Elephas maximus indicus: one gene and its partner. Each later gene encodes a partner of the first gene's protein in a complex. Links are inferred from orthologs where the notes say so. Each region holds a gene or a part of one and is shown in the gene's direction. Other genes may lie near its edges.

The links. Proteins that work in one complex are often made in the same cells at the same time.
Region 2: SNRPD1 (region 1) and SNIP1 share a complex: the UniProt entries of both Homo sapiens proteins name them as parts of the minor spliceosome. The link is inferred for Elephas maximus indicus from reciprocal best matches to the Homo sapiens genes SNRPD1 and SNIP1.

What each region holds. Positions count from the first base shown.
Region 1 is NC_064829.1:27,455,927-27,463,739, forward strand, and holds the start of SNRPD1 (small nuclear ribonucleoprotein Sm D1), read left to right. Parts: upstream 1-4,724; 5' UTR 4,725-4,868; coding exon 4,869-4,882; intron 4,883-7,813. UniProt on the Homo sapiens protein: Plays a role in pre-mRNA splicing as a core component of the spliceosomal U1, U2, U4 and U5 small nuclear ribonucleoproteins (snRNPs), the building blocks of the spliceosome.
Region 2 is NC_064821.1:79,129,311-79,136,617, reverse strand, and holds the start of SNIP1 (smad nuclear-interacting protein 1), read left to right. Parts: upstream 1-4,216; 5' UTR 4,217-4,265; coding exon 4,266-4,486; intron 4,487-6,258; coding exon 6,259-6,361; intron 6,362-7,307. Other genes in the region: DNALI1 (axonemal dynein light intermediate polypeptide 1), read right to left, coding at 2,182-2,327, 3,041-3,121. UniProt on the Homo sapiens protein: Required for pre-mRNA splicing as component of the spliceosome. As a component of the minor spliceosome, involved in the splicing of U12-type introns in pre-mRNAs. Down-regulates NF-kappa-B signaling by competing with RELA for CREBBP/EP300 binding.

The sequences.
Region 1 (7,813 bases):
CAGCTCTGTTCTGTCCTATAGTCTCATTATGAGTCTGAATGGCCCAAGGGCAATGGGTTAGAGTGTCAGAAAAGTGATATGATTTCTTTTAGTTGTGTAAGCCACTTTATCTTTGTTGTTGCTACTGTGGAATTGATTCCAACTCATAGAGACTTCATGTGTGCAAAGTAGAACTGCTCCACAGAATTTTCAAGCTGTGACCTTTCAGACCCTGGGTGGTACAAATGGTTAAGTGTTCAACTAGTAATCAAAAGTTTGACAGTGTGAGGCCACCTGGAGGCATCTCAGAAGTAAGTCCTGACAATCTGCTTCTGGAATGTCACAGCCTTGAAATTCTGTGGTGCAGTTCTACTTTGCACACATGAGGTCGCTATGAGTCAGAATGGACTTGATGGCAATGGATTTGGTAGGATTTTTTGTTTGTTTGACCCTTTGGGAGCAGATCGCCAGGCCTGTCTTCACCAACGTTTCGGCTAGTAGTCAAGCTCTTATTTTGTGCCACACAGGGACTAATTAGTTACTTCTAGTAACTTTACTAACTCGAATTCTGGCATTAAAAAAAAAAAAATTCTGGCATACACACATAAAATTATAGTACAAGCTTCCATTCCCACAAAACAGGCCTCTGCTTCTAAGTGATCTATTTCACTGTATTTGTTGTATTGGTCACAATTAGGAGTATAATTTTACAAATGTCAGACCACATGAAAGTAGATGTACTGATTTTTGGTACAGAAGTAAATCATATTTAATGTATAATTCATTTCTAATTTATTCTAGATTTTCTTTTCAAAAATTATTTCTTAAACATGCTATGAAAGTATAAAGTCATTCACTTTTATGGGAAAATAAGCTTTCTTAGACATTATTCTTTATCATTTTGAAGTATATTTTCACTTCTGATTCATTAGCTCTCAATTTGTAGTTTGATTAACTCAATTATTCTGAAATATCATATTGGCAAAATTTGTTTTGCCTTCTATCAGTGGTTCTCTTTTAAAACAATCTATGAGCTTTGGAATTTGGTGCATTTAATTTAGTTGTGCACTACAAAATAATCATGATCAGCCAAATAAATTTCTCCCCTGACTGAGTTTTCAGTTTTTTCTAAGAAATAGTAAAGAATTTGGGTTTTTGCAAATGATGATCAATGAGAAGCCTAGCATTGAACTGAACTGATGGAGGAATGTAGGTCACAATTGAAATATAGAAATACAAGTTTTGGGTTCAGAAGGGGCCTGGGACTAGCAAGAGATAGTTTCTCAGACAACTATAAGAAAATATTCAACTTAAAGGAAGAAGTGTTTGGTAATCCAAAGAAAATGTTAGCTGGGTCTCTCTTAGTTCAAAAATAACTGAAAACCACCTCGAACTAATATAGAGGAAAAAAAGAAATTTATTGCTACTGTAAGTACAAACTGCAGGGGAACCGCTGACCTCAGGACATCCTGAAACCTGAGGTTCAGGTGATGTCAACAGGACAATGTCTCTCCAACTCTCAGCTCTTCTTTCATCTGTACTGGCTTCATTCTCAACCAAGCTCTCCCAACAACATGGCAAAGACTATGTTGAGCTCACAGCAAACTGATTCCAGTAAAGAGAGAGGTCCTTATGCCTGTGAGCTCCAGAGAAAGTCCTAGGGGAGAGCTGTGATTGGTTCAGCTTTTGCCATGTGCCCATGCTAGAAACAAACACTGTGCTTAGATATACAGAACTTAGATGGTTATCTAAATGGTGAAGGGTTTTTTTTCACAACATGTACACCAAGATTTGCAAGCTTCTGCCCTAAGCTCTGTTCCTAAATTCAAAACAGTAAACGTACTTTCTTGGACTTGTTTGGAGCCCTGGCGGTGCAGTGGTTAAGAGCTTGGCTGCTAACCAAAAGGCAAGCAGTGCTCCTTGGAAACCCTATGAGGCAGTTCTACTCTGTCCTATAGGGTCGCTGAGTCAGAATCAGCTCGAAGGCAACAGGTCTTATGCATGTGATTTTTGTTGTTGTTTTTTCAGGCGGGGGGCTTGTTTAAATTGTCCATTTTCCTTGCTGGCTCAGAATTGCCGATTGTACTTTTCTGGACTCGCTTATCGTTAATTAGGGCATCTACTTCTAAAAACTGGTAATGCAATAGTTGTCTTGCCCCACATACCACATTCTCATTTCCTTGTTTCTTGTGACTAATCTAAATGCCTGTAACATATGTAAAACCTCTGCTAATTTCCAGAAGACAGGGCAGTCTCATTTTCAAACTGACCATCCTGCTAGCAGCAAATAAAGGCTTTATCTTTGTTGCTCCACTTTTGTGAATTTTATTTCAGTACTCTTTTGACAGTTTTGTACTTATAAGAGTAAAAATTCTAACATTTCAAGCTAGAAAACAAAAACAAAAAGTATAGCAATTTACAGGAAACTTATGGGGCAATGGGTTTATGTTAATGAAGAAGAACAATTCAGAAAATGAGGGCAAAAATGGTTGTGCAACTTGAAGAATGTAATCAGTGTCACTGAATTGTACACGTAGAAATTGTTGAATTGGTGTGTGCACAGATGTGTATGTTCTCAACAACAAAAAATAAAATAAATTAAAAAATTATAGCAATTTGGTATAAACCAACTGACAATGCCATTTCAATTTGCCCTCCTCTGGAAGCCCCACCACTATTAGATACAAGAAATAATTCCCCACTTACTTGACAGGAGATGAGTAGGTATTAGCCAGATCAAAAAAAATGCATGTACAAAATCTGGAGAGGAAAATGAGCTTGATGAGTTCCAATAACTCAAATATTCTAATGCTATTGAGAGGAAATGGATTAAGAGGTAGTCAAAGCCCAAATTAGGAAGCGCTTGAGGACAATACCAGTAAGTACCCAGGGAGAAAGGTGTAGCAGTCTGCTACCATAAAGATTTCAGCCTTGGAAATTCCATGGGGAAGTTCTACTCTGTCCTGCAGGGTCGCTATGAGTCAGAATCACCTCGACAACAACTGGTTTGGTTTGGTTTGGCTCAGCACTAGGGATGCTGCAATCAACAACACACACAAGGTCTCTTCTTGGAGGAGCATACATTCTAATGGAAAAGACAAGCCATTATTTCACAAATATTGATTGAGGGCACATTATGTGCAAGGCACTATTCTAAGTGCTAAGGATGCTACAGTGAACAGAACAAATACAAATGCCCTTTCACAGTTGACACTCTTGTGTCAGACAGTAAATAAGTTATCAAATAAATGCTAAGAAGGAAACAAATATGGTAATAAATAGAGCAGCAGTGTCCAACAAAACTTTCTGCAATGAAAGAAATGCTCCATATCTTTTTTGTCCAAAAGAGTAGCCACAGCCACATATAGCTATTGAACACTTGAAATGTGGCTATTGCAACTGAAGAGCTGAATTTTTAATCTAACTTCATTTTAATTTAAATTCCACACTCAGGCACAGCTTGATCCAGCAGCTCATTACTATCACCATGGGTTTTTGTCTGTTTATTAACTCTCCGTCCTGAGACTCTTTATTCTCATAGTACTAAGGCAAGTCCCAACACAACAACCGAACGAAAACTTTCATTTTAAAATTTTCCCCAATGAGTCCTATGAACATTAAAGTTTGATGAATATTGTTGCGTCATAACATCCTAGAATTCTGGTGATCAGGGATTAAGTTCATGCTGGAGATACAAATTAAAGCCATGGTTTGGAGGAGATTACCTACCTACAGGAGAAAGTATTCATACAAAGATTACCGTTTAGGGTACGTTGAGAAAGGAGTGTTTCAAAAGGAAGTGCTTATGTTGAACACTGATGAGATGCTGAGTACCACAAAGATAGAAAAGTTTGTCTTGGAGGTTTCTGATCCCCTTTGAAAAGCAACGTCAGTGAAGTAGTTTGCAAAGTGACCTAGAAGTGATGAAACAAGTAGAGATAGCTCATTCAAGAAGTTTTCCTGTTAAAAAATGGGGCAGTAGCTAGGGCTGAAGCAGAGAGAACTTGGCTTTGTTTTTAAGGTAAATTTGAATGCTGATGGGAAAAAAATCAGTAAAATAGGAGAAAGAGTAGAGTTAGAGAGAAATAACTGAAGGAACGAAATTCTTGAGAAATTGAGAGATGGGATCCAAACTACTAAGAAAAGGAGTTTGTCTTTGAAAGGAGCGACATTACTTTTAGCCTTGTAAAAGGAGAGAAGGCAAAAGGATGGCATCTGTTTTCTGAACGTGTGAAATATTAGTAGAAAGATTTGGTAGTGAGACTGTAGAAAGTTTGAGGGGGACAGAAGGTATGAAAGAGTTGGTGAGCTTACTAGAAAAGAGTAACAGTCTTTCTGGGCAATGTAAGGTGCCCATCTGAGGTTTATGATCAGAACTTAAATGCAAATAATAAGTTAAATTGGGAGATTTTCTTCAGGTAGGTTAGGCAATGGTGAGGTAGGTTCTGGGTGCTCTGTCGATCTAGAGTTAGAATAATCTTTTGGGCTTCTCTTAGAACTTCCCTTTATTCGGGGGGATATTCGGAGGGGTGTAATGCACGGTGCCTTGCCGCGAGAAAACGTGATGGCGACAGGCCTCCGAACTGGATTTGATCTCCCCAAATTTTCCTCTTGCTGGAAATTTCCTCCCAGACCAGCCCTAGCCGCCCTCAGCAGTCGCAAGGCACACCTCCAGGCACCAGGGGGTGCAGTCGTGCTCCTCACGGCCGGAAGAGAGCCGGATCAGCTCAACCTCTACGTTTCCGCCGTGCGTTCGCAGGGCTCCGCGCGCTCTTTACGTCCGGAGCCCCGGGAGTAGGAGTTTCCGGCCATTCATACCCCCGTTCGGTCGGGACTCTGTTCTCTGGTCTTGTGCGCTATCGGGCCGAAAGAGTGACGGCGCCGCTAGGATGAAGCTCGTGAGGTGAGAAGGCTACGAAGCGGCGTGCGGGTTGTGAAGGGAGGGTTTGGGCCGGAGTTGGGAGACTGGCTTCCCCAGCTGCAGGAGGCGCGAAAGCCGCGTGCGCGCGCGCGGCCTGGTAACGGCCTCCGGCGCCAGCCGCTCCCGTCCGGGTCTTGGCCGCGCGGGCGGTGCTGCGGGCCGGGCTTCAGACTGGGTCGCGAGGGATCGATCTGCTCTTCCAAAAGGTGGACGCAAAGGCGGGGACGTTTCTTCCCACTTAATGTCTTAAAGTCTTTCACGGTGCTTTCCCGGGTTTACGAGCTCTTTCGCCTAGTTACCGATACCGATTTTCTTTTCGAGGGGGAACTCGTGCTCTAGTCTAGGTTACTTTTCTGGCCCGTCTCAACTCCTGAGAACAGGCTACTATGAGTAGGTCCATGTGCCCTAAGGAGGCGGGAGCCATCGAGAAAAATTGTATGCCTTCCGTGAGAAGTTCTTTAAATGAATGCGTTTTTCGTGATCAAATTGTTATCGTCGGTTTAAATGAGTACTTAGAAGCAGCATGGCTTTATCTGGAAATATTGAAGTGTACTTCTAAAATATTTTAAATATATATATGTGTAGCTTTTTTGATATAGCTTAAGATATTGTTCAACCTACATTTTCTATAAGGTAGACTTTTAGGAAAATCTCCCAATATTCGTATTTGTGGCTAATTACACAGATAATAAGTTTTACTTCCATTTTTTCTCTTCTTTGACTTTATACTTTGTCCGTTAGCTGTGCCTACTGAAGACTTGTTTACCGGTTTGAGTACTTCATTCCATACTACCTGTAAATACATATGGTTTGGCTATTTTTCCTTTTAACTGATCTCGAAACAAAGGGGTAGAGGCTTCTACTAAGTGAGCGGTTATATTTAGTTAGTTTTTTTGTTGTTGTTCTGTTGAGTCAAGGATTGTTAATGTCAACGAAATTCTTACTATTGTTCACCTGTTATTCTGTGCGCTGGTAATAGAACCATTAAAAAAAAAAAAAAAACATCTCCACCTTGTTGGAGTGGTAAAGACAGACAAGTAGATACTTTCTGCTATGCATGAAATAATATAAAATTCTCAGTGTTTCTGTAGATCGCATGCATGGTTAATTTGTAGTCCATATTTATATGGAATGTAGCTTTGGAGAAAAACGGCTCAAATTTAAAGAATATTTTTGCAATTTCTGAATACCTTCCAGTCTATATCTATTTACAGTTAGGTTTTATGTAATATTCTTTGGATTCAGTTTGTCCTGTTTAAAGGCATTTCGTGTTGCGACAGAATTTTCTTGTAATTTTTAATGGCTGTAGTGAAACCAGAAGGTCAGTGGTTCAAACCCACCAGCCGCTCTGTTGGAGAAAGATGTGGCAGTCTGTTTCTGTACAGATTTATAGCCTTAGAAACCCTGTGGGGCAGTTTTACGGTGTCCTATAGGGTCACTATGAATCAAAATCAACTCAACAGTAGCGGATGATGTTAATGTACTGAAACCCATTCTGTGACTTCGGTAGAATATAGAAACAAAATTTCTTGCTGGAAAATGTGTTTTGCCTGGAGGAAATGATGTTTCACTGACTAGCTTGTGTTTTCATTTGGCTTTAATCCTGTGCCTAAGTCGGTGACACTATCGTTCATATCCTTACAGTCACTCTAACCAAAAACCTGGGAGTCTTGTCCCTGACTTCTTCCTCTCCCTGATAATCCTTACGTTTGAGAAATCACTAGATTTTGCCAATTATTCTTCACAGAAGTATCTCTACTGTCCAATTCTGTTTGGTTTTTGAGTTCAGATAGTGTGAGTTTGGATACTGAAGGAAACCATGTTATCTGGATCTCCTTGATTCTAAATTATGAATAGTAAGTAGAAAGATTTCAGGTAGTGAAATTTTCATCAGAAAATAATTTGAATTTATTTGACTCCTGGGCTCTGATAGAAAGGAATAACTCTCTATTTGCCCTCTCCACAATACCTTCTCTTTCATTCCAATCACCACAACTGAAGTGCAGGCTCTTTTTTTCTCCCCATAGACTCTCTTTTTTTTCCTCCTTCTGAGGTATATATTTCATACAATGACAGGAAAGAAAGAAAAGACCAAGATGGATGTCAGAGAACCCTCTGAAACTTACGAACATTGAGCAGCTAAAGTAAAAGGAAGAATTGATGAAGCAAAAGAACTGAACAGAAGATTTCAAAGCGTGACTCGAGAAGACAAAGTATTATAATGACATGTGCGAAGAGCTGGAGATAGAAAACCAAAAGGGAAGAACACGCTTGGTGTTTCTCAAGCTGAAAGAACTGAGGTAAAAATTCAAACCTCGAGTTGCAATAGTGAAGGATTCTATGGGAAGAATATTAAACGACGCAGGAGGCATCAAAAGAAGATGGAAGGAATATACAGAGTTATACCAAAAAGAATTAGTCGACGTTCAACCATTTCAAGAGGCAGCGTATGATCAGGAACTGATGGTACTGAAGGAAGAAGTCCAGGCTGCTCTGAAGGCATTGGCGAAAAACAAGGCTCCAGGAATTGACGGAATATCAGTTGAGATGTTTCAAGAAATGGATGCAGTGCTGGAGGTGCTCGCTCGTCTATGCCAAGAAACATGGAAGACAGCTTCCTGGCCAGCTAACTGGAAGAGATCCATATTTATGCCTATTCCCAAGAAAGGTGACCTAACTGAATGTGGAAATTACATAACAATATCATCAGTATCACATGCAAGCAATATTTTACAGAAGATCATTCAAAAACGGTGCAACACTATGTCGACAGGGAACTGCCAGACATTCAGAAGAGGACGTGGAACCAGGGATATTATTGCTGATGTCAGATGGATCCTGGCTGAAAGCAGAGATACCAGAAGGATGTTTACCTGTGTTTTATTGACTGTGCAAAGGCATTCGACTGTGTGG
Region 2 (7,307 bases), on another chromosome or scaffold:
CAGGTCCAGTTGCCTCCGTGAACTACTACTACCTCTTTCCCATGAGACCAGAAAAAATGGGTGGTGCCCAGCTACCATCACTGAACATTTTGATCAAGGATCCAATAAGTGGATCCTAATCAAAAGGAAGACAAGCATGGAAGAGAACTTTTAATTCATATGGAAACCAGATTTACTGAATCCGTTGAGACTGCCCTAAATCTATTGCCTGGAAGTAATCTTTAAACCTTGAACTAAAACTACCCCATGAAGCCATCATTAAACTAAACAACCGCTCAGCTCAGTTAATAAAGAATGATTGCCTTGAGCACTGTCCTCTTATAAAGAAGTATCTGCAAGTGTTCAAGTTGATATGTTGATGTAAAGTACAGATGAGAACTTGGAAGAGGCAGGGAGTCTAAATTAACGGTGATAAAATAATATGGGTAGAGACAGTGAGAACTGTGATACAATGTGAAATATGTAACCAATATCATTGAACTATACATGTAGAAACTGAATGGATATATGTTTGATTGTTATATTGCCACCAAAAAAAGACACAAAGAAACAGCAAGTGGAGGCCATGTGGCTTGAGCACAGTGAACAATAAGATAAGGTTGATGTATCATGGGCCAGATCATGCCAGGTCTTTCAAGCCGTGGCAAGGCCATGGTAAGGACTTTGGATTTTAGTCTAAGTGACATTAGGGGGCTTCTGACAGAAGACTGGCCTGATCTGACTTATGATTTAAGGATGGAGAACAGACTGTAAGGGCAGAGAGTGGAAGCAAGGTTTCCAGTTAGGAGGCCAATGTGCTACCACAGGTGAGAAACAGTGACTTGGAACAAAATGGTGGAGGCAGAGGTAGTGAAAGTGGTTGGATTTGGGATATAATTTGAAGGTGGAGCCAGAGAATTTGATGAAGGACCAGACATGCAGTGTGAGAGAAGAAGAGGAATGAAAGGTGGCCTGAGCGGGTAGTAAAGGAGTTACAGTTCACTGAGAAGGAGAAAACTGGGGATGAGCAAGTAGAGGGAGGGAGAAATTGCGACTTAATTCAAACGTGTTGAGTTTGAGATGTCTATTGGACATCTTCGTGAAGATAATGAGGAAGTAGCAGAATATGTGGGTCTGAAGTTTAAGGGGAAAACAGGGCTGGAAATACACATGTGGGAGTTCTCGGCATATTGCTGTTGTCGTAGGCTGCCGTGGAGTCACCCCCCAACTCATGGCAACTCCGTGCACAGCAGAACTAAACGCTGCCTGGTCCTATACCATCCGCATGATCAGCTGCAGACTGGACCGTTGTGATCCACGGGGTTTCGCTGGCTGCTTTCCGGAAGTAGATCATCAGATCTTTCTTCCTAGTCCATCATGGTCTGGAAGCTTCACTGAAACCTGTTCAGCATCATAGCCACACACAAGACACCACTGACAGATGGGTGGTGGTTGCACACGAGGTGCACTGGCTGGGAACCGAACCCAGGTCTCCCACGTGGGAGGTGAGAATTCCACCACTGAACCACCAAGGCCTTACCAGCACATCCACTGCCTCCACCAGTTGCTGTTGAGTTAACCTGACCCAAGGCGACCCCCTATGTATCAGAGTACAGCTGTGCTCCACAGGGTTTTCAATAGCTGGTCTTTCAGAAGTAGATCGTCAGGCCTTTCTTCTGCAGTGCCTCTGGGTAGACTCAACCTCCAACCTTTTGGTTAGCAGCCAAGGCCATTAACCCCTTGGACCACCCAAGGACTCCTCATCAGCATATAACCAAACCAAAAGCCCACTGCTGTCAAGTAGGTCGACTCACAGGGACCCTACAGGACAGAGGCTGTAAATCGTTACAGAAGCAGATTGCCATATCTTCCGAAGAGTGGCTGGTGGGTTCAAACTGCCAATCTTTAGGTTAGCGGCCGAGCGCTTAACCACTGCACCACCATTCATCACCATATAGATGGTATTTAAAACCATAAGACTGAGTGAGAACACTCAGAGTGAGGGTAGACAGAGAAGAGGTCTCCCTTCACCCTCCCAGGACCCAGTCACCTGCAAGCTGGAGGAGCTCTGGAATGCTGGTGGGTTGGTAGGGGGGACCCCTACCCAGGAACAGAGGTATGGTGCATCTCTGCACATTCCCAAGTTCTGGGATCCAAAAACCTAGGTCTTCTCCAGCCCCTGCTCCCACTTTTTTTTTTTACCTTGGGGGCAGGATGGCATTCAAGATTTCTTCTGCCTGCTTTGTAGGGTCTGGGACACAGGAAGTTGAAGGAACCTTGGTCTTTGGTGGCTGTGGGACTGGACCCGAAGGTCCAGGCTGCTGGGGGCTGACTTTTAGTGGCCGAGCCTGAGAAGAAGTAGCAGGTTAGGGCGCCAGTGAGTTAGGCACTCAGATCCACATGTACCAGCCCCCTGGATTGTGTCTCCTGCTCATTGCTTCCCTACTCCCAGCTCACTTTCACCTTGTCTTAGCAGAAGTCATGTCTCAGAGCTGAAGGAGGCCATGAAAAGCTTCTGGTCCCACCCCAACCAAATGCTTGTGTTCTCCTGAACAACGTTTCTGGCAATGGTGCTCAGTCCTGTTTTCATACCTCTAAAACCAAAACCAAACCTGTTGCTGTGGAGTAGATTCCAACTCATAGCGACCTTACAGGACAGAGAATTGCCCCGTAGAGTTTCCAAGGAGCGCCTAGTGGATTCAAACTGCCGACCTTTTGGTTAGCAGCCATTGCACTTAACCACTGCACCACCAGAATTTCCTTCATACCTCCAGTGATGGGGAAATCACTACTTCATCTCTGCTTGGACCCAGCTACCATGAAAGAGTGAGCTCCATCCACGTCCTTGTGACTTCCTTCCTCACCCTAAATCTGCCCTTTAGGGTCACCCCTAACATCTGGGCTTCTTGTGCCCTCTCCCTTCCTCCCCCCCCATCCCAATCCCCTGTCCCTCCGGTTTCTCAACCCTCAAAGCAGGGACCTGTCCTTCCCCATCGGAGCTTCCCCTTCCATTCTCTTCCCCGCCCACCCCCCCCTGCCCCGCCCCGAGACCCGTCCTTACTTTGGGGCTCCGTTTCTCTGTGTTCCGGCTCACCAACACCGGGGTGTCGTATTTGAGCAGCGAGTCTGCGGGGGGAATCATGGCGGCCGCGGGGGGTAGTAGCCCAGAATTGGCCCTCTTGTCTGGGCCTTGTTTCCCGTCACCATGGAAACCTCCTCGGCCAGCTGCATGTTCTGGGCGGGGCTTCGGGGGGCGGGGCCAGCGGAGCGCCAGTTTTCTTCCCCGCGCAGCGTTCAAGAAAGGCTCTCTTAGCGCTTGGCTTTTTGGGTCTTCTGTTCAGCAGGTCGCTCCGGGTCTCTTGGAAGCAGGAAAAGTGTGGGTTCGAGTCCCTGCGCCGCTCCTTGCTCGCGATTTGAATGGGCATGTCACCTTCGCTGAGCCTCAGTTTTGTCACCTGCAAAATGGAAGTCATTCCTGACTCCTCATTGAAGGGTTGAGGATGATTCCCAAAGGAAAGCCTGTGAAGATTCCTAGTTTTTTATCTAGTTTTTTTAAATTAAACTGAGAAATGACAGTATTGCAGAAAATTCCGGAAATAAAGGAAAAATAGTGATTTGCTCACGGTCAACTACGACTACATTTCCTTTTTTTTCTTCACGTTTCTAAACGTAAATGTAATCAGTTCACGCACAATTTTGTATCCTGCTTTTTTTCGTTTAAACAAGACTGTTTTTTTTTCCCAGTTGCCATATTAAAAAAAAAAAGTTGCCGTGGAGTCATTCCTCTCATGGCGACTAGGCTAGACTCATAGGACAGACTAGAACTGCACCATAGGGTTTCCAAATTGCCGCTGGTGGATTCCAACGTCTCCCTTTTGGTTAGTAGCCGAGTTCTTAACCACTGCACCACCAGGGCTCCATTTGCCATACAGTTTGTAAATAACACTGCTAATGGCGACATAACATGCCATCAGTTGGCTAAACAATTCCATACTGCTGGACATTTAGGTTGTATCTGTGTTTTTAATTACTAATAACGTGGCAACAGCCTTAAGAGTGTAGCTTTTTCCAGCTATTTGTTTTTGAAACTTAAAACTCCCGCCGTCTGAGCCAGTCGCTACGGTTCCGCCCCCTAGAGAGCGGCTGTCACGTGCTCAGGGCCTCCGCCGCGAGGGTTTCTGGGAGAGCACGTAACCCGGAAACGGAAGTCAACGGGTCAAGTACGTCATTTCCTTCAGTGAGCGGAGCTCAACGGACTTGTTCTTTTCCTCAGCCAGGATCGCGGGATGAAGGAGGTGAAAAGCGAGCGGGAACGGGGAAGCAGGCGAAGGCACCGAGACGGGGACATGGTGGCGGCGGCGACGGTGGTGGTGAAGCAGGAGCGCCTCAGCCCGGAAACCGTCCCTCCCGCCCACCGCCGCCCTGACTCTGGCCACAGCCAGTCCTCGCCGGCCGGCGAGCCCAGCCGCCCTAGTCACCGCGGTAACCGAGCCCGCGGAGGCAGCCGGTAAGTGGGGAGCAGCTTGAGGTTGACCTTAGGTCTGTTCATTGAGATAGAAATACGGGCTAGTGTCAGAAACAGACCTTGGGTGCTGGACTCAGCAACTTGAACTTAACCCTGGAAGCGATGGGAGTGACTGCGTTAAAGGTTTACTCCTGCACCTCCGATGGCATAATAGCTGAGCGTTAAGCACGTAGTGGACAGAGCTCCGCCCCTTCATCTCTGTTCCCAACACCTAGCAGAGCATGGCCTAGTAGATAGCGTTGTTTGTTCAATTAAAATGAAAGATTTTTCCCGTCTGGTTGCCAAGCCAGGTATGGGCGTTCTCTTTCCAAAAGGTTTCCCCAAGGAGGATCTAGGAAGTCTAACTGATAGAAACTGAAAAAATACTGCCTTTTGGTAGACTCATTTACTCATTCGTTCAACCTTGTTTAGCACTTACTGTGTGTCATCTTCGTAATTGGCACTATCCGCCCTCTTCCTCAAACCAAAACTGTCTTGGACTGCTGTCTGTCTTGGAAAAAGTACTGCCAGAGTGCTCCTTGGAAGCGAGGATGGCGAGAAATTTGTCTCACATACTTCGGGTATGTTATCAGGAGGAACCAGTCCCTGGAGAAGGACATTATGCTTGGTAAAGTAGAGGGTCCGCAGAAAAAAAGGAAGACCCTCGATGAGGGGCTCAAGCATAGAAATAATTGTGAGGATGGTAGTGTTTTGTTCTTTTGTACATAGGGTCGCTGTGAGTCAGAACCAACTCAGTGACACCTAACAACAACCTGTGCCAAAGAAGGAGCCCTGGTGGGACGGTGGTTAAGAGGTGGGCTGCTAACAGAAAGGCCAGCAGTTTGAACTCACCAGCTGCTCCGTGGGAGAAAGATGTGGCAGCCTGCTTCCGTAAAGATTACAGCCTTGAAAATTCTGTGGGGCGGTTGTGCTCTGTCCTGTAGGGTTGCCACTAGTCAGAATCGACTCTCCAGCAACAGGTTGTTGTTCATGTGCCAAAGACTGTTCTAGCTATTGGGACCACAAGGGTGAACAGGAAGAATGGTCTTTATCCTGATGGAATTGATGTCTTCTAACTGAGGAACAGACGATAACAAGCAAATAAATAAAATAGTTTTAGTTAGTAATAAGTATTAGGGATAGGTTAAAACAGTACAGTAATATGATAGTGAGAGTTTGGGGAAAAGTGGGAGAAGGCTTCTCTGAAGAGATGCCATTTGAGCCCAGACCTGAATGATGAGAATGATCCAGGCAGAAGAAACAATACGTGCAATGATTGTTTTAGACATGGAAAAAAGGCCAGTGATGATGGAGTGTAGTGATCAATAGAGAGGGTGGTAGGAATGTGGCGAGGGAGAGAGGAGATAGAGCCACAGGACTTGCTGATGGATTGAATGTAATTGCGTGTGTATAGTGGTGGTGAGGGGAGGTGTTAGTGGTGAGGGAATAAAGAATGAAGGGTGACTTTTAGGTTTTTGGTTTGTGGAAGAGGCTGGATACTACTAGTTACGAAGATGACAAAGACTGGGAGAGGAAGGTTGGGGGGTTGGGAGTTAAAGAGTTTTGTTACATAATTGATAAAGCTCGGTAGGCCATTACGTATGTTGGTCTGGAACTCAAGGGAGGTGTTATTCCTAGGAAGGTAAAGCCTCTGATGCCTAGTTTCTGTCACAGGTGTGGTGTTTCTGTTGGTAGGCAAGTCCGATACTTGAAGCTAATTTATATGGGGGAAGGGATGTTGAGATAAAATCCTGAGTGTACCATGCTCTGAAAAGGTCCCCAGCCAAAAAGAAAAGCAAGTCCTCAGGGAGAAGAAGCAAGTCTCCACGGGGTAAGAGAAACCGAAGTCCTCACCACTCAACAGTCAAAGTGAAGCAGGTAAGTTGGATCGGGGTGTTTTGGTACTAGGTCCAAATCTTTAGCCTTTTCTCATCATAGTTAAAGTGTATGTTCACCTGCAGCTGCAAAGAGCTTTTCTAAAAACTGGGGGAAAGGAGAATCTTCTTTTTTTTTTAATCTTTTTATTTTGAGATAACCGTAGATCCACATGTATTTGTAAGAAATAATACAGAGAGGTGTACTCTTTACCCTGTTTCCTCCCAGTGTAACATCCTGCAGAAGTATAGTACATTATAGCCAAAATATTGATAAAGCCAAGATAGAGAACATTTCTATCACCACAAAAATCCTTGTGTTACCTTTTGTAGCCACATGTACTTCCCCTCCCTCCTTGCCCCTGAGAAAACCAAACCCATTGCTGGACAGTCGATTCCAACTCATAGCAACCCTGTAGGACAGTAGAACTGCCCCATAGGGTTTCCAAGGAGCACCTGGTGGATTCGAACTGCTGACCTTTTGGTTAGCAGACGTACCTCTTAACCACTTTGCCACCTCTAATTTGTTCTTCATTTCTATAATTTTGTCATTTCAAGAATGGTATATAAATGGAATCATACAGTATATGATATTGTGGCATTGGCTTTTTTAATTCAGCAAAATTCCCTGGAGATTCCAGGTGTTAACGTCTGTCAGTGGTTCATTCCTTTTTATTGCTAAGCAGTATTCTGTTTTGGATTTATCACAGTTTAACCAGTGTTTGATTATTATGAATAAAGTTACTATACCCACATTCGGATACAGGAGTGTAATTGCTGGGTCATATGGTACTTGTATGTTTAATTTTTTAAGAAGCCGCCAGATGTTTCTAGAATGGCTGTACCATTTAACAGCATATGAGTAATCCTGTTTCACTGCATCCTTGCCAGCATTTGGTGTTGTCACTGGGTTTTATTTTAGCTGTTCTGGTAGGTGTGTAGTGATGTCT